3 linked regions of the Lonchura striata genome follow. The protein of the gene in region 2 binds, or shares a complex with, the protein of the main gene of each other region. Links are inferred from orthologs where the notes say so. Each region holds a gene or a part of one and is shown on either strand. Other genes may lie near its edges.

What was found.
Region 1: the proteins of SMAD7 (region 2) and SMURF1 are in contact, whole or in part, in an NMR structure (PDB 2LTX), measured with the Homo sapiens proteins. The link is inferred for Lonchura striata from reciprocal best matches to the Homo sapiens genes SMAD7 and SMURF1. Residues at the interface, in NP_005895.1 of Homo sapiens: Glu203, Glu205, Ser206, Pro207, Pro208, Pro209, Pro210, Tyr211, Ser212, Arg213, Tyr214, Pro215, Asp217; in NP_065162.1 of Homo sapiens: Glu313, Arg315, Ser316, Thr317, Arg321, Tyr323, Val325, Asp326, His327, Arg330, Thr331, Thr332, Phe334, Thr335.
Region 3: the proteins of SMAD7 (region 2) and NEDD4L are in contact, whole or in part, in an NMR structure (PDB 2LTY), measured with the Homo sapiens proteins. The link is inferred for Lonchura striata from reciprocal best matches to the Homo sapiens genes SMAD7 and NEDD4L. Residues at the interface, in NP_005895.1 of Homo sapiens: Glu203, Glu205, Ser206, Pro207, Pro208, Pro209, Tyr211, Ser212, Arg213, Tyr214, Pro215, Asp217; in NP_001138439.1 of Homo sapiens: Arg394, Asp396, Lys398, Arg400, Tyr402, Val404, Asn405, His406, Arg409, Thr410, Thr411, Thr412, Trp413.

What each region holds. Positions count from the first base shown.
Region 1 is NC_134618.1:14,830,723-14,838,432, forward strand, and holds the start of SMURF1 (E3 ubiquitin-protein ligase SMURF1), read right to left. Parts: upstream 3,007-7,710; 5' UTR 2,817-3,006; coding exon 2,762-2,816; intron 1-2,761. Other genes in the region: KPNA7 (importin subunit alpha-8), read right to left, coding at 6,740-6,820. UniProt on the Homo sapiens protein: E3 ubiquitin-protein ligase that acts as a negative regulator of BMP signaling pathway. Mediates ubiquitination and degradation of SMAD1 and SMAD5, 2 receptor-regulated SMADs specific for the BMP pathway.
Region 2 is NC_134642.1:1,802,905-1,810,889, reverse strand, and holds the start of SMAD7 (mothers against decapentaplegic homolog 7), read right to left. Parts: upstream 3,034-7,985; 5' UTR 2,949-3,033; coding exon 2,438-2,948; intron 1,529-2,437; coding exon 1,475-1,528; intron 1-1,474. UniProt on the Homo sapiens protein: Antagonist of signaling by TGF-beta (transforming growth factor) type 1 receptor superfamily members; has been shown to inhibit TGF-beta (Transforming growth factor) and activin signaling by associating with their receptors thus preventing SMAD2 access.
Region 3 is NC_134642.1:459,409-467,452, forward strand, and holds the start of NEDD4L (E3 ubiquitin-protein ligase NEDD4-like), read right to left. Parts: upstream 3,024-8,044; 5' UTR 2,725-3,023; coding exon 1,558-2,724; intron 1-1,557. UniProt on the Homo sapiens protein: E3 ubiquitin-protein ligase that mediates the polyubiquitination of lysine and cysteine residues on target proteins and is thereby implicated in the regulation of various signaling pathways including autophagy, innate immunity or DNA repair.

The sequences.
Region 1 (7,710 bases), on a different chromosome or scaffold from region 2:
TCCTTGTGCTGGCAATTCTGCCACTGCTGCGCTGCCCTGATGGCAGCACAGATAGGAAGAGACCATAGATTTAACAGAAAGTTTTCTCTTACTTTGCCTAAAACTGTCTGGCTCTTGCATCACCAGCTGGGGTAAAGGCTTTAGTGAAAAGGAGAGGAGAAACTGAGATATGACAGGAGATTAGCATATTTGAGATCAACAGGCCACAAAGCCATTTTAACCTGTCATGCAACTCATTGTTACATTGAGGTTTTTAGTATTTCTGCACAGGGTGCATTATTTGCCATTTTACTTCATTACAATTTGCATCAGGCTAGGACTGACATCCTTACACATTCTGTATAAGCTGGGAGACCACTTCTGCTAATCATCAGCAGATTGAGAACTTTTGCTTATATTCACATAAATAACCCCAACACTCCGCTACTGTAAATACCTTTAGAACAAATGAGGAAAAAATTATGATTAAAAAAAATCACAGAAGATTTAACCACTGTTCCCTTGCCATTCACCCAATGACACTGACAGGCATACTAAGTGGTATTTACACTGCTATTTTCACTGCAAAACTTCAACGGTGCCTAATCACAGGAAACACAATGCAGGTAGTAAATCATAACAAACGAGGTCCTCTGTCTTGATTTAAATGTGCTCAAATCTCCCAAGAGCCGAGGAGATGAGAAAACAACAGCCAGGCTGGCTGCAGCTATTTGAGACAGGTAAGTCAGCACCCCAGTCCCAGCCAAGAACTCAGCATTGCCCAACGATTCCAGAACTAAACTTCTCCCAGAGCAATTTATTTGTTGATTAAATACAGCAGTTTTTGTCACATCACCCAGGTTTCCTGCTTGTAAAAATAGAAGATGTGTTTGAGTAAGGAGGAGATTTCTTCGATGCAGTTAAAAATGGGGAGTAATAAAAAATAAATCTACCAAGTTGCTCAATGAACTGAAACTTCAGTCTGTTCCAGGAAACATTCCCAGCCCAGAGAGAAGACTAGTGTATGCTAAAAGTAAAAAAGCATTTTGCTGCAGCATTCAGCCTTTAAAATTAAACTCAACAGCTTCTCTCTGTTATTTAAATTATCTCCTCCAGCTCAGAAGGGCTATGACCATGGCCTAAGTTACTTAACTCACATTTTTATTGACTGACTTGCATAAAAATAAGCCACATTAAGGACTGAGCTGACATTTGGTATACATCACCACAAAACTCATTTCAGATCAAACATCATTCATACAACCTAAAAATATTTCCAGCCTTCTCCCATCCAAGAAAGGGATTTTCAGATTTACATTATCCTCACAAACTTTGGTCTTCTGAAGCACAAGCGGTGCAGAATCAAAGGATTAAAAGAACACCAGGATTTTTATTTTTTGATGATCTGCCTCTGAGTGTGTTGTGTGCCAGGAGCAAGTTAACCTGTAAGTGCAGTTTCACCAGCACCGTTTTCTCATTATTTGACAATGTTTTATGCACCCACACACAGAAGATCCCTCTCCAGAGACCAATTCTGGTCACCCAGTGCTGCACTGTGGCTTCTCCAGCCCAACTGACCTCCAAACATCCACTTGTTGCCTTTGAAAGAATGGATTAGACCTTATTTTTTAATAATTCACACAGCAGTCTCAACTTCCCAACAGCTTCTCATTAAAGAAGCAGGCTCGGCTTCGACCAGAGCAGCTTCCAAAAGACTTAATCCAGATCTTTCAGGGTCCAACATAAATTGGTTTATCCATCCATGAACCCTCCAGAGGCCTCACACAGAGGCAGGACAGACACAGTTCTGGGTGTCACCTCCTGCACAGGGAAGGAACTTCCAAAGGTGAATGCCACAATGTGCCAGGTAAAAACAAGCTGAGAGGAAGGAAGCAAAATTAAAGAAACACACTAAAAAAAAACAAAACAAAACAAAACAAAAAAAAACAAAACAAAACAAAAAAAAAACTACACAAAACCATCCAGCTAAAAGCAACTAAAAGGGTATTTTCTCATTAGCAACTGAGTTATCCTCTTTGGCACACAGGAGGTTGGGGGGGTTGTTAATTAAAGTGAAGTAAGGCAAATTATGACAGGCTGTGCTGAAAACCAGTGAGTGGGAGAGGTGGCCCTGGGAATCCTGCTGGGAATGGTGAAGAGGAGACCCCAGGGAAGAGCAGCACAGGGATACCCCATGGGAGAGGGAACAGGGAAAATCCTGGGAAAGAGCTGGGAAGGGGGAAAGGTGTCACAAGGATGCCCAGGGCCAGGGAAGGTGCAGAAGAGATCCCAAAATTGGGCAGAATGCAGGGGAGCGTTATCAACAGGGATGTTCCATCGGGAGTGCAGGAGGGACCCATCTAGGGTCAGGGTGCTGGAGGGGTGGTGAGTGCCACATCCATGGGGGAGGGTGCAGGAAAGCCCCCAGGAAGGAGAAGCGTGCCCTGAGCTGCTGGAGAACGAGGGGGACACAGTGACAAACCCCCGCCCTCCTCACATTTATGTCACCCCAAGGGGGCTCAGCCACCTCACGCCGGAGGGGCGGGAAAAAATAGAAATACACAAAAGCGCAGAGAGGCTCTGTCGGGCCACAGAGGGAGAAGCGGAACAGAAAAACGGTGGATAAAAGTTAAGCGAGGCTGGGAGCTCGGGCCCGGCCGGTCCTCCCCTCACAGCCAGGGGAGGGGATGGAGGGGATGGAGGGGAGGGGACCCCGGGCCCAGCCCGGGGTGTGCGGCCACACACACCACACACACACACGCCGCTGCTGCCGCCCCGTTACCTGTGAGGCGGATCTTGATGCTGGATCCGTTCCGGCGGGTACCGGGATTCGACATCGCGCCTGGAGCAGGAGGAGGAGGAGGAGAAGGAGGACGCGGCGGCGGCGCCGAGCTCAACCGGCGGCCCCGCGCAGCCCCGCCATGCGAGCCCGCCCGCTTCTCACGATGCCGGGAATGCCCGGATCCGTGTTCCGGTGGCCGCCGCAGGCTCGGCGCCCTCAGCCGCCGCCTCAGCCCCAGCCGCCGCCGCGCCCGCCCGGCCCGGCCGCGGAGCGCCGTGGCCACGCCCCCGCCACGCCCCCGCGCACGGCGGAGGGCGGTGACGTCAGCGCGCACAGCGGCGCGGCCGCGGCCGGACGCCATGAGGGGAAGGTCGGGCGGGGAAGGTCGGGGTGTGGCGCATGCGCGGGAGGGGTCCGGGGAGCGCCCCCTGGCGAAGGGGAGAGCGCGGGGGAACGGGGAATTCGGGAATGGCGGAACGGGAATGGGGTGGGGGAATAGAGGGGGAATTGGGGAGCAGGGATGGGGTGGGGAAATAGAGGGGGAATTGGGGAGCAGGGATGGGGTGGGGGAATAGGGATGGGGGAATAGAGGGGGAATTAGGGAGTAGGGATGGGGAAATAGGGATGGGGGAATAGAGGGGGAATTGGGGAGCAGGGATGGGGCGAGGAAATAGGGATGGGGTGAGGAAATAGGGATGGGGGAATAGAGGGGGAATTGGGGAGCAGGGATGGGTTGGGATGGGGGAATGGGGAATAGAGGGGGAATTGGGGAGCAGGGATGGGGTGGGGAAATAGGGATGGGGGAATAGAGGGGGAATTAGGGAGTAGGGATGGGGTGAGGAAATAGGGATGGGGGAATAGAGGGGGAATTAGGGAGTAGGGATGGGGAATGGGGAATAGAGCAGGAATTCAGGAATGGGGATGGAGAAATGGGGGGAATAGAGGGGGAATTCGGGAATGGGGGAGTAGAAGGGGAATTGGGGAGTAGGGATGGGGAATAGAGGGGGAATTCAGGAATGGGAGTGGGGAAATGGGGGAATAGAGGGGGGACGGGAAAAGGAATGGGATGGGGAAATGGGGGAATAGGGGGGGAATGGGGGAATAGAGGGAGAACATGGGAAAAGGAATGGGATGGGGGAATAGGGGGGAATTCAGGAATAGGGATGGGGTGGGGGAATGGGGGAATAGAGGGGGAATTCAGGAATAGGGATGGGAAAACAGGGGAATAGAGGGAATGGGGGAAAAGGAATGGAATGGGGGAATAGAGGGGAAATGAGGGAAAAGGAATGGGAGAATAGAGGATAATAATGGGGGAATTGAGCAGAATAAGAGCAGGATGTGGGGGGAAAGGGTGATGGGGGATACCTGAGGAACAGCATAGGGGCAAATAGAGGTGGAATGGGAGGAATTGGGGTGCCTAGGGCTGTCCTGGGATGAAAAGGGACAAATAGGATCCCTTTAGGGATGAATAGGTGATCTCAGGGGTGGAACAGGGGCAACATGCAGGGTAGCAGGAGGGTGACAGGGTGCCTGGGGGTGAATAGGGGCTCTCACAGTGGCATGGAGGATGTATGGGGGGACACAGAGGGAGCACAGGGATGCCTGAAAGTAGCATAGGAATAAAGGAGTCTTAATTTGGGGTAAACACCACTACAGGCGGGGGCAGTGCCTGTTCCATCTCCAGAAAAGGGACAGCACCTTCTCACTGTCTACAACTCCCTGATGGGAGGGTGCCAGGTGGGGAATGGACTCTTCTCCCAAGTGCCAACACAAAGGAAAAAGCCCCAGGTTGTGACAGGGTTAGATGTTCGAAAAGATTTATTGACTGCTCAAGCAGTCCCCACTCCTGAGAATGTTCCAGGGAGCAGAGGTGGCACTAAAGGGGTAGAAGCTGATGGAAGTCAGTGGGAGATTGTGGAGGTCTTTCCCAGCCTCAATGATCCTCCACCTGCTCCTCTGGGGAAGGTTTTAATTAGAAAAACTACTTTTTTTTGTGCATGACAGGAGGGAGGTTGAGCTGCCCTGAGGAAGGACAGCATCATCATGCCCCTTTCACTGGTGTCCCATCCCATCCCCCTGGGAGGAGGGGATGCCTGCACTGCCCCCCAGCTGGAATTGCCCCAGAGCTGCTGCCTGTGCCTGGGGCTGGCAGGGGAGGGCAGCGCCCCAGGCCAGGCAAGCAGCTGCCTGCAGGTCGCTCACACACCCACACAGAGCCTTGGTGATCCCCAGGCACTGGGCCCAGTTCTTCAGCTGCCAGGGGAGACAGCAGGCACGTCCCAACACTCTTTTTAGGAGGGGCATGTTGTCCTGGCCTCTGCCTTCAGGACAATATTTTGTTAAGTTACAGACACAAGGATGGAAAGGAACAGCTCTGGGCCCCTGGCTCTGTGTAACACCACCCACCACAGATTTATGTCCAGCACATGCCAGAAAAAGAAACCAAGATATTTCCTATTTCTCTCTTAATCAGATCATCAGCAAAGAGCAGCCCTGCCTGGGCCATGGGAAAAGCCAACAGGGCTGGTCCACAGAGGACCAAAATCCAAACTCGGGGCAGGCACACAGGCCCTAGCTCTGTGTCTGAGGAAAGAGCTTCCTCACATTCCTTGTGCCCAGGGAGCTGTGGCCATTCCCAGGTGCCCCATCAGCAGTGGGAAGCCCACAGAGCCCAGGCAGCAGCAGCCCTGGCTCAGGTGCATGTTCAGGCAGTGCTGTATCATGTCTAAGTCCATAGTTCTGGATGTAAGAAGCACTTTGCATTTCATCAGATCCCAGTATTTGAATATTAAATAAATGATACTAAGCCCTGTTACCCATAAGCGGGGCTGCCCAGCTCCTCCCAGAGAACACATTTACTACCAACTCCCTTTTCCCTGGGTGGCCTGCAGGAGAAATGCATAAATCCTCTGATGAACAGATCCAGGGAAGAGGAAGAGCCTCTGTTTCCTGAAGAGGAGATTTCCCCTCCAGATTAAGCTGTCACATCACCTCCCACTGCCCCTGAGGCAGCAGAGCCCTGAGCCCACCCAGGGACACTTTGAAGAGCCAAACCCCCAAAGCAGGGAGGGAAAGCTGCTCCCTCACCTTGCCTTCAGCAAAGCCTTTGAGCTGCTTCAAGCTCTGGGTAGCAAAGGATTGGGGAAGGGTCTGCTGGGAACCACCAACACTGCAAGGATGGAGCAGTGGCCAGCAGCTCATTGAGAACCCACAGCACAAAACCTTTGTGCCATGGGCTCAACTCCATCCTCACCTTCTGCTGGAGACCACACTTGGAGGGCTTAGAGAGAAGGAGAACAAGAGCCAGGGACACACCACGGAAACCTGAAATACAGGTCCTTGGAATTAAAGAGCAGAGCCAGATCGATGGGCTGCAGGCTGATGGATGGCAACAGGGAAGCTGCAGCAGAGGTGAATCATTGCCCCTGCACTGCCTCCAACAACCTCCCTTCCAAAGGAGCAGCATCTACTCAGCAGCTCCCACATCCACATCTTCCAGGTGAAGTAACACAGCAAGGCCACTGATCCACCTGGGCCTGGCTCAGCTCCTTTCCCACAGCAATGATGGTGCCTGCAGAAAGGTGAAACATCTCTCAAACAGTTTTTTAGAGCTACTTCAGCCACTCCAAGTCAAGTCTAGAAGTTTCAGAACAAAGATCAGATGGCAGCATGCTGCTCTCCTACAGCTCAGAAGAAAGATCCCACCCAGAAAACTTGATCAGGGGCTCCAAAACACTCCTGCAAGACCTTAAGATGCTACTGGAAAAAAAAAAAACAAAACAAGCCATGTCATTTGCAACAGCAGCTTAAAGAAGGGGGGAAATAATTAAAGGCAAAAGGAACAAAGCCAAAAAGTGCAATTTATTGACAAGTTTCAGAAGTAAAAAGGCTCAACATCTCTACTCCTGACAATTTGGATGTCTGAGCTCTTCCAAAGTACCTCCACCCACCAGTTTAGAGCTGTGTCATGCTTCATCTTCAGAAGTTGAAGTCTTGTTTCTCCACTGAGAAATCATACAGCCCATCTTGGCCAGTCTGGGGCTCCAGGTTTATGCTCTCCTAGGAGGAAAATGACAGAAATTACTTATAGTGTCTGCATTTGAATAAACCTAAGCTTTTTACAGCAACTCTGTTTTATTCTTGCTTTAAAAATCCTGTTAATCTCAGTTTGACTGTAACAGAACTCCTGCTCCTTGCAGCACCCTAAAGCTGCAGTGTCCCTGCAGCCCACACAAAAGCAGCCAAGCCTTTGGGCTCAGACACCAGAAGCAAAAGGAAATAAAAGTGGCTGCAGTGGTAGAGCTCACTGAAATTAAATGGCCTGCTTGGAACAGCAACAAGCCAGGACTGCTCAGGGGGATGTTCCCCTGGAATCCAGCCCCTCCAGCAGGAGCTGGTGTGGAGAATTTCCTCCACAGCCTCTCACAGGGACACCCCACAGACCCTGCTCTGGCAAAGGACTAAACCAGACCTTTGCCCCCTGCTGCAGCTCACACCCAAAGTGAGTTCCAAGGTCTGCCAGGCCTCTGAGCCTCTTCCCTGATGATTTCCCATCTGCAAGTCTAAGGCTGGGACCAAACATGGCTCCTGTGACAGTCACTGGACCCTTGCAGCTCCTAGCTGGTGTCCTATCTTCTTTTTCCATAGATTCTTTACCATGAGAAGGGTCAAGTAATCCAAATGCAACCTGAGCACTGTTATCAGCTGAGTAGGAGGCTGCCATTCATAGTGACAAGCCAGCTCAGCTCTGAAGGAGGAAACCTCTCCACATTTGGTATTCATATCAGTAACTGCAGTAACTCCAGCTGATGCCAGTTTAAATTCCAGCAGCAAGATGCTATCAAGGCATCCATGTCTGCTGCCCAACTCATTGGCTGACAACTCGGAGCTTTTACAGACCTTTAAAAACACCTGAAAGAAGCTGCAAGGACTACTCTGGTCATGTGGAA
Region 2 (7,985 bases):
TAAATCCTGCAAATAGATTTTATCCTAACATCTTTATAGGAAAGCAAAACCAAGCTTTAACCCTTGTCTCCTCCAGCTCCAAACCCCCTTTGCATCCCATGCCAGGATCATCAATGAGTGCAGAGAAAAGCCATAAAGGCAAAAAAAATAGGAACTTTTGGGGGAGAACTGCAGGGATGCAGCCACAGTTATGCAAAACCCACAAAAAGAACCCAGCAGACCCTCAGAGTCTATTGCAGAACAACACTTCTGCATCCCAGCACATGCTGTGGATGCTGAACCTACTTCCGATGTCCCTCTTGCATTCACCAGCCCTTATCTCCTGGTTTTTTCACAAGTCAAGATAGTTCATGCTTTGCAACCCAATTGTTTGTTAAACAGCTTTCTTTATTTTCACAAGGCAAAAAAAGACTCCTTAGTGTTCCCAAAGAGTTTGCTGAGGGGGAAAACAACAGTCCAGCCTCTGGGGAGCAGTTGGCAGGATGAGACCCCACCACCACACCAGAGCAGCCTCAAGGCTGGGGTTTCTTTTAGCCCTGAGACCCTGCAGAGAGGTGATTTCACAGGCACTGTTCTTTTGGCCAAAAAACCCCAACCAAACACTCTGATGCTTTTCTTCAGAAATATCTGTGTATCTACCCTTGCCACCCTGCAGTGCCGTGCCTCCCCTGTCTGCCACGACCGCGGGACGCGACCGCAGAGACCACCGTGCTCCAGCCCACTCCAGAGCCACTAATCCTCAGGAAGCCAGGAGCTGCTCCTCCCGAGCTCCCCACGTTTCCGACTCTCCCCACCTCTCCTCCTTCTCCCAGCCTCATTTATCTCACACCCAGCGAGCTCGCTGCCAACCAAGAGTTTATGCAGACAACCGCAAAAGAGCTGGTGCCAGCCTCAAATGGGCTTCTCCCCTGGCACCCTGACATTCAATTACAAGCGACAGGCATGCACAGCAGTGCTAAGAAATTTAAATTTTAAAAAGGTTAAAAAAACAACATTTCAAACTCTTTTCCCGGTTTTTTTTTTTTTTTCCAAGATGATGTAGTATTAGGCTTCTATAAAACTTAGAGAGATTTTTAACCAACCAGTCCATCTGTCAAGGTTCACTGGGATTCCCAGGCATCAGGGAGATGCTGTGCTGGATCCCAGCCTAAATCCCTAAAAATTCACCCAGGGGTGAAGAAGCACTGCCATTTCCAACTGGAGCCTATGGTTTTCCTGGCTGATTCAAGCAGCACAGGCCTGCACTGTGCTGCAATCCCTTCTGAAGTTTACTGCCATAGTTTTAAACCCCTACTTTGTGCACAAGGTGGCTTAGACAAATTATATGCTAATTGTTATAGGGGTAGCAGGAGGCACGGCACACAAGCAACCCAAAAGCAAAATGCATGACAAAGGCAGGAGGCTGTTTCCCCGATAAAGGAACTATTTTGCCATTTTTTATCTCTTACACTTGCATTGAAAAAAATCCACTTACCAGTTGGTTTGAGAAAATCCATTGGATATCTGGAGTAGGGTGGAGGGGGAGACTCTGGAATTAGAGAAGTACAGAGAAAATAAAGGCAGAGCCATGAGAAAGAAAAAAAAAAAAAAAGAAAAAAGATAGGAACTTATGATAACAGTGGCATTCTTTTAGCAAAACTGTTTGTCTTAGCTCTGGGGGTTGGAGGCAGGGCAGCGAGGCGGTGATTGCCTTGATATTTAGCTGTCAGATAAACAAAAGGGGCCGTCTGGCGCCAGTCTCCCTGCTATCTGCCGCTCGGGCTGTCTGATCGGGGCCTCCTTGGCTCGGCGGAGCCGCGGCAGCGCCGGGGCCGCCCGGCCCTTAATCCCCCGGCACCGCGCGGGGACGGCGGGGAGGCAGCGCCGGGGCCCCCGGGAGGGGAGGGGGTCCCGGAGGTGGGGGCGTCGCCCCCTCCCCTAAATACAAAATGAAATGCATAAACCACGGCAACTGAAAGATTTTGTGCGTGTTCTGGGTTTTGTTGTTTGTTGTGGGTTGATTTTGGTTTGTTGTTTGTTGGGGTTTTTTTCCCCTCCAGAAGGGGGAAAAAAAAGTTTTGTGGGCCGGGAGGTGAGTGGGGCTGGATCCACGTATTTCTGTATCCCCTCCATACATGCATCCCCTGCATGCCCTCCAACCCCTACATACCTCCAGCCCCTGGATCATCCCTAGCCCCTGCACTCCTGCATCCTCTCCATCCCCTGCACCCCAGCCTCTCCATTCCCCACATCCCTGTATCCCGTCCATCCCTTGCACACCTCCAGCCCCCGCGCCGCTGCACCTCCTCCATCTCTTGCATGCCCTCCAGCCCCTGCACCCCTGAATCCCCTACAACCTCGTGTGACCTCTATTCCCCTATATTCCTACATCCCTCCAAGCCCTACACACCTCTAACCCCTTCAGCCCCCGCATCCGCCGCCATCCCCACCGCCGTACCTAGCTCGCAGAGCCGGCTGAGGTGGTGCGGGTTGCAGCAGACGAGCTCGGAGTGAGCCTTGCCGTAGGATTCACAGCAACATAGCCGCTTCACTTCGGAGCAGTGGCGGAGGTCGGGCCAGCGGAACACCTTGCAGAGCAGCACGGGCAGCGGGTACCAGTGCTGTCCCAGCCGAGAGTCGGCCTTGGCGGGCAGCAGCAGGCAGGGGGTCCGCGCCCCGCCGCGGGACTCCACGGCGTGCAGCAGCCCCTCCAGCTGCCGCTCCTTCAGCCGCTTCAGCACGGCGTGGGTCAGCGCCTTCAGTTCCGCCTCCGCGCCCGCCGCCGCCCGCCCGCCGCGGCCCGCCTTGCCCGGGCAGCACCCGCGCCCCCCGCCCAAGTGCGCCCGGGGCTCGGCCACCGCCGCCGCCGCGCCGGGCTCGCCCGCCGCCGCCTCCTCCTCCTCCTCGCCGCCGGGCGCGCGGCTCCGCCAGAGCCGCCGGACGAGCACCGAGCGTTTGGTCCTGAACATGCGGGACGAGAGGAGGGGCCCCCGGCTACAAAACGGGCATGTCGTCCGCCGAGCATGAAGGGGCCGGCAGGCGGGATGCGGCGGCGGCGGGGGGCAGCGGCGGGGGGCAGCGGAGCCGAGGCGGGCTGTGGCATGCGCCAGTCTCCGCGCTGGGGCCGCGGGTCCCGCCGCCTCCCGCGGGGGGATGCGCCGGCCGCGCCTCCGCCCGCTGCGAGAAAATTTACAGAAAAATCGAATTGAAAAGAAAAAAAAAAAAAAATTCAAAACTGAGAAGGAAAAAAAAAAAAAAAGGAGGGGTAAAATAAAGGTTGGGGGAAGGGAAGGGAGAGAGTCGCCGCTTGCTCCGGCTTTGCCCAAAAAAGCAAGGAAAAACCAAAAAAAAAAAAAAAATCCCCGTCTAGAGCCCGCGGCGCTCGTCGCGGGGGCAGGCGGGCGGGGGCTGCCGGCGCCGCGCCGCCGTGCGCGGGTGCGGAGCGCGGCCCGAGCCGCGGGGGAGCCTCGGCCGCCCCGGGGCCGCGGCGCCCATCAACCCGCCACGCCGGGGAGCGGGCGCGGCGGCAGGGATGCGGCGCAGGGCAGAGCCAGCAGGCAAAAACAAAAAGAGCGAGCCAAAAAGGCTATTAAAAAAAATGTTAAAAAAAAAAAAAAAAAAAGAGCCCCAAAACACCAACCCTAAGGTTTGGACGTCGGTTTAAGCATCTGTCACAAAAGAGGCGAACGAGCGCATCCAGAGTGTTGTATCCCTTTTAAAAAGCCCAGGTCGTCCTGATGTGGGGGTTTCGGGGTGGGCTTTTATTTTTTTTTCCCCTCCTTCTTTCCAAAGGTTTAATCCACACGGAGTCTTGATCCGGCTGCTACGAAGAGAAAGAAAGGAAATAAAAAAATAAAAAAATAATAAAAAAGGAGAAAAGTGGGGCTACGTCCCTTCCTTCCTGCCTTCCCCAGCAGCCGCGCCGGGCCGAGCCGGGCCCGCCGCTCCCGGCGGAGCTTACATGGGTGCGGGGGTGCCCGCCGGCCGCCGACCCTCTCCCTGCTGCCGGCGCCTCTGCCGCGGTGCCTTTTTTTTGCTCTTCACTCCTCCTTCCTGCCTTCCTTCCCCTCCTCCTCCTCCTCCTACTTCTCCTCCTCCTTTCGTGGGGTTTTTTTTTTTTTTTTCCTCCCCCTTTCCCCCCCACCCCTCCCGCCCCTCCGCTCTCCGCAGTCAGCCGCCCTCCCCGCACCTCCGCCTTCCCCCGGCGGCGGCGGCGCGGGGCGGGAGCGGAGCCGGCGCGGTGCCTGCGCCCTCGCCCGGCCCCCCCGCACCGGCGGCGGCTTCGCAGTGCGCAGCGGCCCGGCCCGGCCCGGCCCGGCCCCGTCACGTGGGCGTCTAGACACCGTGTCGCTCCGGGGGAAAAAAAAAAATAAATAAATATATCTATATATTATATTTATCTCCAACCGCCTTGCGCAAGAGGCGGCTCGGGTTGCGGAGAGGTTGTGGGTCCGTGCGTCCCCTCCCCGGCTCACCCCACCGCCGCCGCGCCCCGCTCCCGATGCTTCCCTTCGTACCTGCTCCTGGGTGGGGGGTGCGGGGAGACTGGGGTGTCCCCCCCGCACCCCGCGGGGCACAGCGTGGGGAGCTCCCGGGACTGGGGTGTGCCGGTGCTCGCTGTAAACATTGGAATATTAAACCAAATCAGCGTAAAAAATTTAAAAAAAAAAATCGATATGGCTCTGGGTATAGAACGAGGGCGCATCACAAAAAGCAGTCATAATAATGATGATGATGATGATAGTAATAATAATAATAATTTGTGCTGCTACAGCACCTGTCACCAGGAGGACAGGAAAATACACCATGGAGGCTCGGTACGCTCCGATTCCAAACACGAAGCAGCAATGACGGGCGAGTAGCACTCCGGTATTCGCGTTACGGGTGCTACTAAGCGGTAACAACCCCTGGCACCCTGGGCGCTCCACAGATTTCCCCCATTCCAATTCTGGACCGGCAGAGGGTGAGGAAAGCTGAGCCACCAAGAGGCTGCGCTCTCGTCCAGCCTTGCTGCGCCCTGCGGCCGGGCTGGGAAGTCCGGCCAGACTTCCTAGCGCCAGGCTTGGCAGGGCAGCAGAAGTCCCCAGGGGTCCCCGTCCTGCACGCACTCCCACGGAGGAGCAGCTCCTTTTTCACAGAATAACTGCGGGCGGATGGGTTGCTTTAAGGTCACTCTCCGAGGCAGTTATCGTGTCGGAAGTAGGAGCTGGGACTCCTAAATCATGGCTGCTGTAACCAAGTCGAGCTCAAATCCAAAGGCAAAGACATCCAAAACAAATGTTGCACCCAACTAAATGTGACGCTGGGTAGAGCACATATAAAACCAACGTCCCGTGCAGGCAGGGCATCCCTGGGGTGTATCTTCTGGATCCCTAAATTTGGGGTGGGCAGGAGGGCAGGGATAATTTAAGCACCCAGTTGCGCATATATTCACATGAGCAGGTCGGGGATGCCACAAACGGGCCTGGCATTTGAGGAATCTGCACCTAAATTAGTCACAAAGTGGCTAGATTTGGGCGTAGCCTTGTTAAATGTTAACAACACTACACCTAGCCAGGTACAAAATCTGCTCAAAATGCAGATAAATAGTTGAAAAAACACTGGGGAGGAAAGAATGTTATTTGCTGGCATCAGAAAGAATAATTTAGGAAGCTTTGTTACAAAGCTGGAGTTTGAGGAAGGCAATTTGGCTCCTTCCTTCACCTCCAAGTAATTAAAGGTGGGAGCGGAGTCCAGGGCGCAGCTCTACAGTCTTTAGGTGATAACTTGGGGTAAATCATAATAGCACCAGCATTTGGGTCTGTACCTGCAAAAAAAGTCCCATTGCTTTTAAAATTATGCCTTCTGCACCCTGAAAAATGGAAATTGGGTAATATTTTTAGTTCAACACTTTGTCCTACAGCCTCTGGAGTGACCTCACATACACTGAAACTGATTTCCTCACTTCCTCAGAGAACCTCAATTTCTTTTCCCTGTGATGAATATAGAAAATCAGGAGGGGGGAAAAAAGAGTTCCTTCTCATTCCAATATTTGCTGGTGAAAGACATGTTGGACACATTCATTAATCCATACGTTATACTTTTTAATTTTTCAAAACTTGCCAGGCTATTATAAATGAGATTAAAATCTCCTTTTTTAAATTTTCTCCATTGCAGCTCCACTTGCCTCATCACTGACAGCTACAATTACTTTTGTCATGAAGGAAGCAACAAAAAGTACAGTATGCTGTGTGATGTGAGGAGGTGGAGGACAGGAATGGGGTCCAGGAGTTAATATAATTTTTTGTCCCTGCCGTAGGTTCTCCAGGTGACCTGGGACACCTGCCTTTCCCTGTGAGTAGGGACCCGGGCTTTGGCACCTCTGATTTCCCACAGGTACAGCTGGGCCATCAGCGCTTGCCTGGTTTTGTGATCTCTGCAGTGGAAATTGCCCCAGAATTGCTAAATATTAAATAACTGATAAAGAACTGCTTTCCAATTAACCCTGAAAACTTGTTTAAACAGACCATATGTATGTGCCCATATGGAAAATACAGAAACAAGCATAATGAAGCCGATAAATCTGGGAAGGGGACCTGGGCCGAGGGGACGCTTGGAAAGCAGGGTGATACCCACAGCCTGCCCTGCTCTGGATGCATTGCTCAAATGTCACCCTGGGCCAGAAACCTGTCCTGAAATGCATGAAGGGCACTGTTAATCCCCGAGGAGAAATAAAATATGTTTGAGTCATAGAATTCAAGAATTGTTTAGACTGGAAGGGACCTTAAAGCTCATTTTGTTCCACCTCGTCTGTCAGGGCTGGGACACCTTCCACCAGACCGGGTTGCTCCAGCCCTGTCCAACCCAGCCTGGGACACTTCCAGGGATCCAGGGGCAGCCACAGCTTCTCTGGGCACCCTGTGCCAGGGCCTGCCCACCCTCACAGCCAAGGATTTTTTTCTTCCTACATAGTCTGAATCTCCCCTAATTTAGTTTAAAACCATCAACCCTTGTCCTGACACTTCAGGCCCTACTAAAAAAGTCTCTCCCGGTTTAAGCCCCTTTTGAGTGTTGAAAGGATTTATACAATGTGTTACATTTGTATAATGTGTTTGCACAACGTTTTGCATCCCTCCTGCCAAACACATTAGGTCCTGGATGTAAAATCCCGGCGAGCCCACCCTCCCCAGCCCCAGCCCTCCGTTCTCACGGGGGTTTCTGGGGACCTCTGCTGAACCCAGCTGGCTTTGAAGAGCTAAAGCCGGGTTGATTTGCATTGCAATTCAACCTTTGACAGACAGTTGGAGCCAAGGCACTGTTAACCTAATTGTTTTGCTAACAGCACCAGGGTGTGAGACTCACCAAAGGCACTTCCAACAAAGGGGATAAAACCAGACTTGGGAAAAAAAAAAAAAAAAAAAAAAAAGCCCTTTTCCTGACATCATTACCGGGTACAAACAAACAGAGCTGATCCCTCTTCATACACTTTCCAGGCGAGGGTCAATAACAAACACACTTTGCTCTTTTGGGGGTATGTCTCTCCTTTTCACAGCAGTGAAAAGCCAGTCAGGGGAGGTAGGAGAGAACAAGCCAGGCTGAAGGCAGGGGCAGAGGCAGCGCAGGCTGGCTCCTGGCACTCTCCCATCCTTTTGTGCACATTAGGAATAGCTAAGCTTGTGGCCCTGCTTCTATTTTTATGCATTATTTTGAGAGCAGAGCTCTCAAGCAATGCTCAAAGTCTGGGTTGTGAAGCCGTTTTGGCTGTAGCCAGTCTCCTTCCACTCCAGCAGCTCATTTCAGGAGAGCAGATTAAAGCTGAAACCCAAGGTCTGCAAAGAAAAACATTCTTCAAGCAACCTCCCTGTGTGGTGAGTGGCACAGGGAGACAAGGATCCCGTGCTCACTGCTGTCACACAGCCCTGCAAGCTAAAATCACCATTTCAGTGCAGGTGCTTCTGGCTGCTGGCAGCCATTCCAAGGCTGGTCTGTTGGAAAAGGATGCAAAAAAATGTGGGTACAAGGGGGAA
Region 3 (8,044 bases), about 1.3 Mb from region 2:
CTGCCCTGCAGGATGCAGTGCCATGTGGGCTGGGCACCTCTGTGCCTGCCATGCTGCACAGCTGCCTCAATCCATTCAACACGGTAACTCAAACCAAGAGCACAGAGGAACAGATTTCCTCGTTCTCCTCTGGGACTACTGAAGCAAGTCTTTGGGGTGGGAATTGTTACTACAGGGGGGATGAAAACAGGGACTTTGAGAGGAGATCCTTTAGGAAAATGAGAACTGTTGCACAGACCCAGGGCACATCTCTGCAAACCTCTGCTGCCTCTGTGCTAGGTCTGACACCCCACAGCTACTTAGGGAACTGGCTGCAGTGGGTCTCCATGAACAACAGATCTTGGAATGGAGCAAGGGATAACAAAGAGGAAAGGGAAAATAAGACATACTTTTTTTCTGCTCCTTTACATGTCCTGGAACCAAACCTGTACCAGGGAGGGATTTCTTTCTATTTCACGCTTTCAAGAGCTCCAAAGAAGGTTGGAAAAACACCGAGTCCATAAGCTTTTCCATGGGAAAGCTGCAGAGTCACTCCTGGCCTTGCTGCAGGGAGCAGCTGTCCCTGTGCTGCATTTCAGAGCCTGGGAGCACAGGAGCCATGGAGCCTGAAATCTCCTCAGCAACCGTGCCACAGCTGGAGCCAGAGCTCGCAATGCTAAATAGAGCATCCCTGAGCTGGGAACTTGAGTGGGCCGTGTTGGATTGCACAGCAAAGCAATTTAAGCAAATGACTAATCTAAACCCTTCAGTTTGCTCCTACTTTAGGCTTTGGAAAAGCGGCTGAAAAACATCAGCCATCAATCCTCGCCTGCTGTAACAAAGCAAACCCAGAAGATTAATTTTGCCATCCTAACACCAAATCAAGGCAAATCCAAACAGACTGTTTACTGAGTTGTGTCAAACCACTTGCACTTGGACTTGGATCAGGACTTGCAGCATACAAAAGGCATGACATGTTTTTCACTTCCAGAAGGAAGAAAGAAAAATTACTCTAAGATTAGTATAAGAAATTACTAATAAATATTATTTTTCCCCAGACTTCTTGGTACCTTAACTAAGCCAGTACTTTGATTAAACTTACTCTAAGATTCCCACAGTCTTAGCAACTATTTCATTACAATACACATTTTAGAAGTGTGCAGAGGTCCACGTGTGTCCATTACACTTAGAAAGTGACAAAGTATTTGTTTTTAAAACCAGAGTGCACAAAGAGTTCTCTACGCAGCAAGGCCTCAGCCAACTAAACTAACAGAAACATTTAATTTGCTATTTGAATGCTCTGATTTTAAAAAATCTTTCCAGCTGACGTAACAGCTGGAATTAATGTGAATTAAGAAACACGTGACAGTAAGAGCTGAAAATATTACACTGGATGTAATCATAACGAAGAGCGAAGTTACATTAGATTAGAAATAAAGACAATTTGTGGCCTGCTCCAAAGAAACGCAGAACATTCCAGTGCTAACAATGGAAGTGCTGCAGTTGGCTCCAGTGTGGCAGCCTTTGTAAGGCAATCCGTGTTTTACCAGCACAGCACAGCACGCCCATCATACTTACTGCGGTGCCGGCTGCCGTAGGACCAGGGGTGCCACGACCCTCCTTACCAACAGCCTGACTTTGTTCTTCCGGCCCACGCGTGACAAGAATTCTGAAGTGCTGCTGCCTCATGTTTTGATCTGGTCTGATTTTAAACAAGCATCCCTGCCCTTGAGGCATCCGCTCTACTGAATCACTTCGAGGTATTCCTGCCCTGTTCCTGCTGTCTCCAGGCAGCTCCGAATTCAGCCCATCACCTGTGGGGCTAATTCCTTCTGCTGGTGGCTGGACAGGGTAGGAAGTACTCCTTTCCAGCCGTATCCGAGGGTACCTGACCAACCTGTCCCCTTTTGTTCCGGTAAAGCCAAAGTTACTGCCACCTTCTGCGCCCGTACTGCTTGTCTGTGGCTGCTGTAACTGGAGAACAAAGAACTTTTTCCCTGAATTTGCTGACAGATCTGGCACATGCTGCAAGGACCAGCGCCGGGGCTCAGAGGTGGGAGCGCTATTTGGAGCGTCAGGACCAAAGGGAAGTAGAGTAACTTGAGGAACCTCCGCACTTGAGGCGCGATGCTGAATCCTCACACCGCTTATGTTTACACCTGAAGCCGCTTCACTCGCTTCTTGTCGTTGGGCAGTCAGCAGAGCCTCCTCGCTCTGAGAATTAGTACTACAGAACATTCTACGGTTACAGCAAACAGTTCCATCTGTCTGCTGCCCCAACTCTTCCGTCAGCCCGGGTGAAGAACCTTCAGGAGTCACCTGCAGAGCGCTCGGAGAAGAGCGCTTTTCAACAGGGGATGCATACGGCTCCCTGAAGTCTGAGACTTTCCAGGGCAGCGTCTCCTCCGGAGGCTCCGGGGCCGCGCACTCGTCGGCGCAGCCGTCGGCAGCTTTGCGCTGGAGCGAGATCTGCATGGACGAGCTCCTGGTGGGGCGCGCGTCGATGCCGTTCAGCAGCTGCGGGATAAACATGGATGTGCTCCTTTTCAAGGAGCCCACTTCGTGCAAATCTCCGTCGCCGCCGTAATCCGGTCCATGCCGCGAGAACGCGTGAGGGCTGCTTCTTCTTGGCAAGGTGTGGAATGCCATGAAAAAGTCATCTTCTCTCTCCCGGGCAAGGTTCTCCGATTCGGGGGCTGTGTTGCTTCTCCCAGAGCCAAAATGAAACCGCAGCCGATGGGCCATGATTTTACAGAGAGGAGAAAAGGAGAGGGAGAACGGCAACAATTCAGGCACTGCCAGAAGTTAAAAACCAAAGACATAAACTCCAGGAAAAAGTGTCCCATCTGCCAATCGGTTAGCACTGCAGCCCTGGGAGCGACAGATAGCAGAAATAGCCCAAGTGGCAAGCAGCATTCCAGGCATGATTGGGCAGGAGCAGTCAGCGCTCCTACACACACGGTGACATAGGGTAGGATGGTGGGAGTCACGTGGCCTGGTTCCCCCTCTCCAATGTAAGTGTGTGAGGAGTTTGTTTTTTCCTTTTTTTTTTTTTTTTTTTTTTTAATGCCAGCAAGAGCCTGAAACAGCACCTTCCCAGCTGCTCCTTTTCCATCAGGGAGGAGCGGCCCCAGAGGGAGAGCTCTCGCAGCTGACTGAGGCAGCGAATACACTCGGCACTGCTATAAATCTAAACCACATCAGATTCACAGGGCACACTTGGGAGAAAGCACTTGCAGAAAACTCTAACTACAACAAAATGCTTCCATTTTGTGTTAAAAGCTTAAATCAACACCACATGCAAATGAGGAAAATTCTTTCAAGCACAACATTTTAGTGTGTTACAGCTCTGAGCTGTCATGGCAGAACAGGAATAAATACAACATGGTTACACTTAAAATTTTAACCGTGCTCATAACAAAATTAAGCAACAAACTTTTGACTTTAAAAAGCCCCAGCAGCAATATAACCTGCAGTTCCCTTTGAGCAACTACAAATTACCAACAAAGCAATCATACGTATGGCAAAGATCTCTCACACAGTAAAACCAGTAGAAATGTGCAGGACAGCAAGTCAGAAAGCTCCTTTTCCAGATCTGCCAGGCAGTACAGGTGAGGGAAAAGCAGAGCTGGGTGTTGCATGTCTGTTTGCACTGATTTGTCCCAGCCCCTGCACAGAACTGCCTGCTCCTGGCTGGCCTCCAGCGAGGGAGTCAGCAATGCCACCACGCGTGGCACTGCCAGCACAGAGTACAGTTACACTCCGAGAGCCAGAAGAGCTCAGGAGAAGGACAGGCAGACAGGATACACTAGAACGTGCACCAACCACCTTAAATCAGCTCTGCTACAACAAAGATACTCAGTGCCCTGAGGGCACTCGCACTTCTTAGCACATACCAGAAAAACTCTGGTTAACCAGAAGGCAGCTCCATCTCAGGGCCTGGACAGCTGCTCCCTGCGAGAACTAGAAAGCCTAAATCTTGTCAAAAGCTCTGAAAACCTGTATGTGGCGGGTCAGTCCTCTGCTGAGACATCTGAACTCTGCTTACAAGCAGCTTGCTTTCAAAAGCCACAAAACTACCAATCCCAAGAGCAACGGCAGCTCAAATTGATCAAACTGCCAGCAACCAGCACAATCCCACAATTTTTTATGTGGGTTATGAAACGCAACAAAAATGTGAACAGCTTCCACACAGCAATGGTCCTGGAGATTGCATCATAGAAGCACAGGTGTTGGTATTATTTTATCTTTTTTTTCAGCTAAAACATGTTACTCAATAACACGGTCTCTGCATCCAAAAGGAGGCTGCATCACATTTACTCTGTTGAGACTGGGGAAGAGAAAGGCAAAGACACCTGCTAAGACAGAGTGTGCTTTGGTAATTTGGGAACAAGAAGAAACAAAGTCCTTCCAACAAAAGCCATTTAAATATTGACAATAAGTATGTGAGAGTAAAGCCAAAAGTATCAGCTCAGCGTCTCCTCACTCTATAAACACAACCTGATAGAAACTTGCTATTCCAAACCCCCCGAAGCAGTCAGCTTGCCACAGACCTTCTGCAAGGAAAGCCATGCTTCCTAACCCCAGGTGCTGCTTTGGCCAGGAAGTTCCAAGGCCAAGGACAGACTGAGTTTGGAGGCAGAACAGAAGGAGAATACACACAAACTACTTCAACAATAAAAAGTGCTGAAACTGCCACAGTACGGCCGGTATTGCACACCCAAACTCGAAAATCCAAAGCAGTATGTCTGAAATAAGTATCCCAAACCTGTAATTTCCCAGCTGTCAATGCATAGAAGCTTTTTCTCTAACCCGACCTCCCTGTTCCTGTGGCACCTTCGCATTCCAATGGCGCATGGCAGTTTTAATAGTGCAAGTGGGCATTATAACCATTATATACAAAATAAATATGCTCCTGGTCAGCCACTGTAGAGGCACAGTGCCACCGGTTCACCAATTTACTTCCTCCTGAGAAAAGATCCAGTCATTCAGCTGCCAAGTCCTTTTTCTCCCCAGATTACAGCTTCTGTGGTTTCCTTTGCTCTTTATTTATGAGGAAGATAGAAGGAAAGAACCTATTTGTTGAAGACAGATGCTTTTACAGTCTTTTTTTATCTTCAGCAAGCAAACAAGTTTCTCCACCCCAGAAAATGTGAATTCCTGATCTCATGAACAGAGCTGGTGTTACAATGTTCAAAAGGCAAACCCCCAAGAGCCATCCACCAGTGTGCCACCGCACTGGCACGTTTAACCCCAGATGTACAGAGGGATACTGACACTTTTCCCACGGATAAAACTATTCCAGAAGCTAGCAGCAGTCAATGGTGAAAGCCTCCTCCTGAAAAGCTACTGCATCAGCCAAAGGCAGGGAAAGACGAAACCACTAACAACATGTGAGCGTTGTGAGGCAGAGATGAAACCCACCATTCTGCCATGACCTTAAACCTTCACGCATGCACTGTGCGCATAAGATGCAGCTCTGGTAACCACCTCCCCAGGCAAGATGCAGAAGCACTAAAGGACTGGAAAGGGACACTAAAATGATAAAGCAGTTCCTTTATCAGCAACTGAAAAGGTCAGGACTTTATTGGTTTGAAGTGGAGAGGCCTGAGAAGGCCAGAGTGAGGGTGAGGAGGACCATCTTGGTCCGACTCAGAAAGGCACTACTTTAGTGCCCTTTCAGTCCCAGACTCAAATGGTTTTTACACCTCTATTTGTGTTTCTTGGCACGCTCACTGAAACAACCGTCCGAAGACACCTTTGAGCTGTGTTGTATTTCTATCAGCTGGGGCACACGGAGCCTCGTGATTAGCAGAACATAACCAAGACAAGCACTCACCAGTCTGTTTTCATCAAACACCTCGAACAGCAGCCGATGGTTAGTTGGGTTTACCTGTGAGAAAATCCAAATGTCACTGCAAGTTCAGTAGCTGGACAATAACAACCTGGGTACTAGCTCAGGCAGCAATCAAGGCAAACAGGACAGGACTAACAGGTCTGATGTAAATCTTTACTTGAACTGGAGCACCAGAACCTTACTGCAACTGGGAAGAGCATGGCAGTTGACATGAAAGCTTTTACCTGCATTCCCATGGCAGAGGACCCTAGTCCCAGGCTGGACAGAATATCAAGGCTCCCTGACTGATTTATGAGGAGCAAGAATTTTGCTGCATTTCCTTCAGAATTTCACCTTCAGATATGTTTCTGACTGTCCACTGCTCATCATCTCTAGCCCATTTATTACTCACATCCTTGGAACAACCAGCAGAAATCTCCCCAACACCTGAACAGCAAATATACCTCCAGAAAATTATTTACTTAAACTGAAGCAGAAAGACTGCCAACATTTAAAAGGTCAAAATCAAACATAAAAAGAACTCTGTCAGAAAGACAAAACAGCTGCTATTAAGCAAGTTTTATAGCATTTGATCCAGTTGATATATTTTTTCAGAGAAGCTTTACAAGCTGGGTTACTACGACCAGCATATTGAATTAAGAAAATTTAGAAATAGTATACAACAATTCTGTGGGCTGGAGATGGACTTCCCAGTTTTGAGAAAATCAGAGAACTGTGACACACAAAATAGTGTCTAAATTACTTTACAGGTCCCGTTATTGCTGAGGACACTCAAGATGTTTTAACAGAGCATTTGTGAACTACACCAGAGGTTTTGCAGCAGGGTTGTGCACTCCCTTTTCCTAAGACTCTAGATCTCAGCTGCAAACCCCAGAAAAGCTGTTTGGTGCAGGTGTCCCAGTAAGCACTCCCCACGGCAGTGAGGCCTGTGCATGGAACATTCCACTGGTGGCACTGCTGTCCCAGAGCTCCCATCTGCCACACCAGCCCTCAGGCACTGCTCGAGGGTAATGTTTGAAACCCCTGCAATCCTACCTGACCCGCTTTTGTACAGCTACAGCTGCACTACAGGTCACAAGTCAACTATTCCTTGGAAGAACGTTGTATGCAACCGAGTAGCAAAGTGACTGCCCTTCACAATTATATAATTGCAGGTTGGGAAACAGTTTCTAAGGAACCTGCAAGCCAATTCCTGCTGAGCATTCCATCCCCTCAGAAACACAACAGCAAGTACATCAGGGCAAGCAGGTCTCTGGAGTAAACATACAAATAGAAAATAACATTAGCTGTACATGTTCTAATAATGACCACAAATAAAGAGAAACTTACTCTGAAGTAAAACTCTTCATTCCATTTAGGGTTCAGCGTCTGTAAAAAAGTAACTATATTTACATCTAATGTAAATGTTTTCTGGTGTGCAATTATAACAACATACATGCAAGTGACAGTTTTCTAGGGAAATAAAAGAGAAAGAAAAGCATGTAATAAAAGAAATTGAAAAATACATTGCCATCTAGAGATTCTCTATTGAGTAAACCAAATGTGAGAGGATATGTGAGTCAGATGACCCTAAAATAGACATTAAATATAAATAGAATTTGATGATTAAAAGACAAATCATTGAGAACCTATAGAAATAAAATCTGAAGAACATTTCATTCTCAAGATTCATTTAAACCCAGATGAGAAAAAAAGTATTTTTTAATCACAAAAGCAACTTTGGGGCTCCAAGAATATTCTCAGATTTATACTGTGAAATAAACAGAAAAATTAAAAAAAAAAATAAAACCAACCCAAAAAAAAACCAAAAGTAAAACCAAAAGAAAAGGTTATTCCTGGGAACAGGTAAGATACTCTTCCAATGTTCTCCCAGCCCAAGGATTTTAATTTTAACAACCTGACTAAAATGCACAGAATAAACGTCCATACATATTGCCAGCTGAAGTGAGCTCAAACATGACATAATTAATTGACACAAAAGAGATGAGAAGTACAAACAGTAATTTGGGCAATTCAAGCTTGAGTAAGTATAAAACAATTGGACAATACGCCCAATGATTTTGTGCTCATGCCAAACCATTCCCTCACGCTCTCACACAGCAGAGATCTACGGGCAGAGCTGACAGGAGAAATTGGCTTTACACCCACGACAATTCTGTTCTAGCAGAGATGGGGAATCTTGGCTGTTTATCTTACTCCTTGCTATAG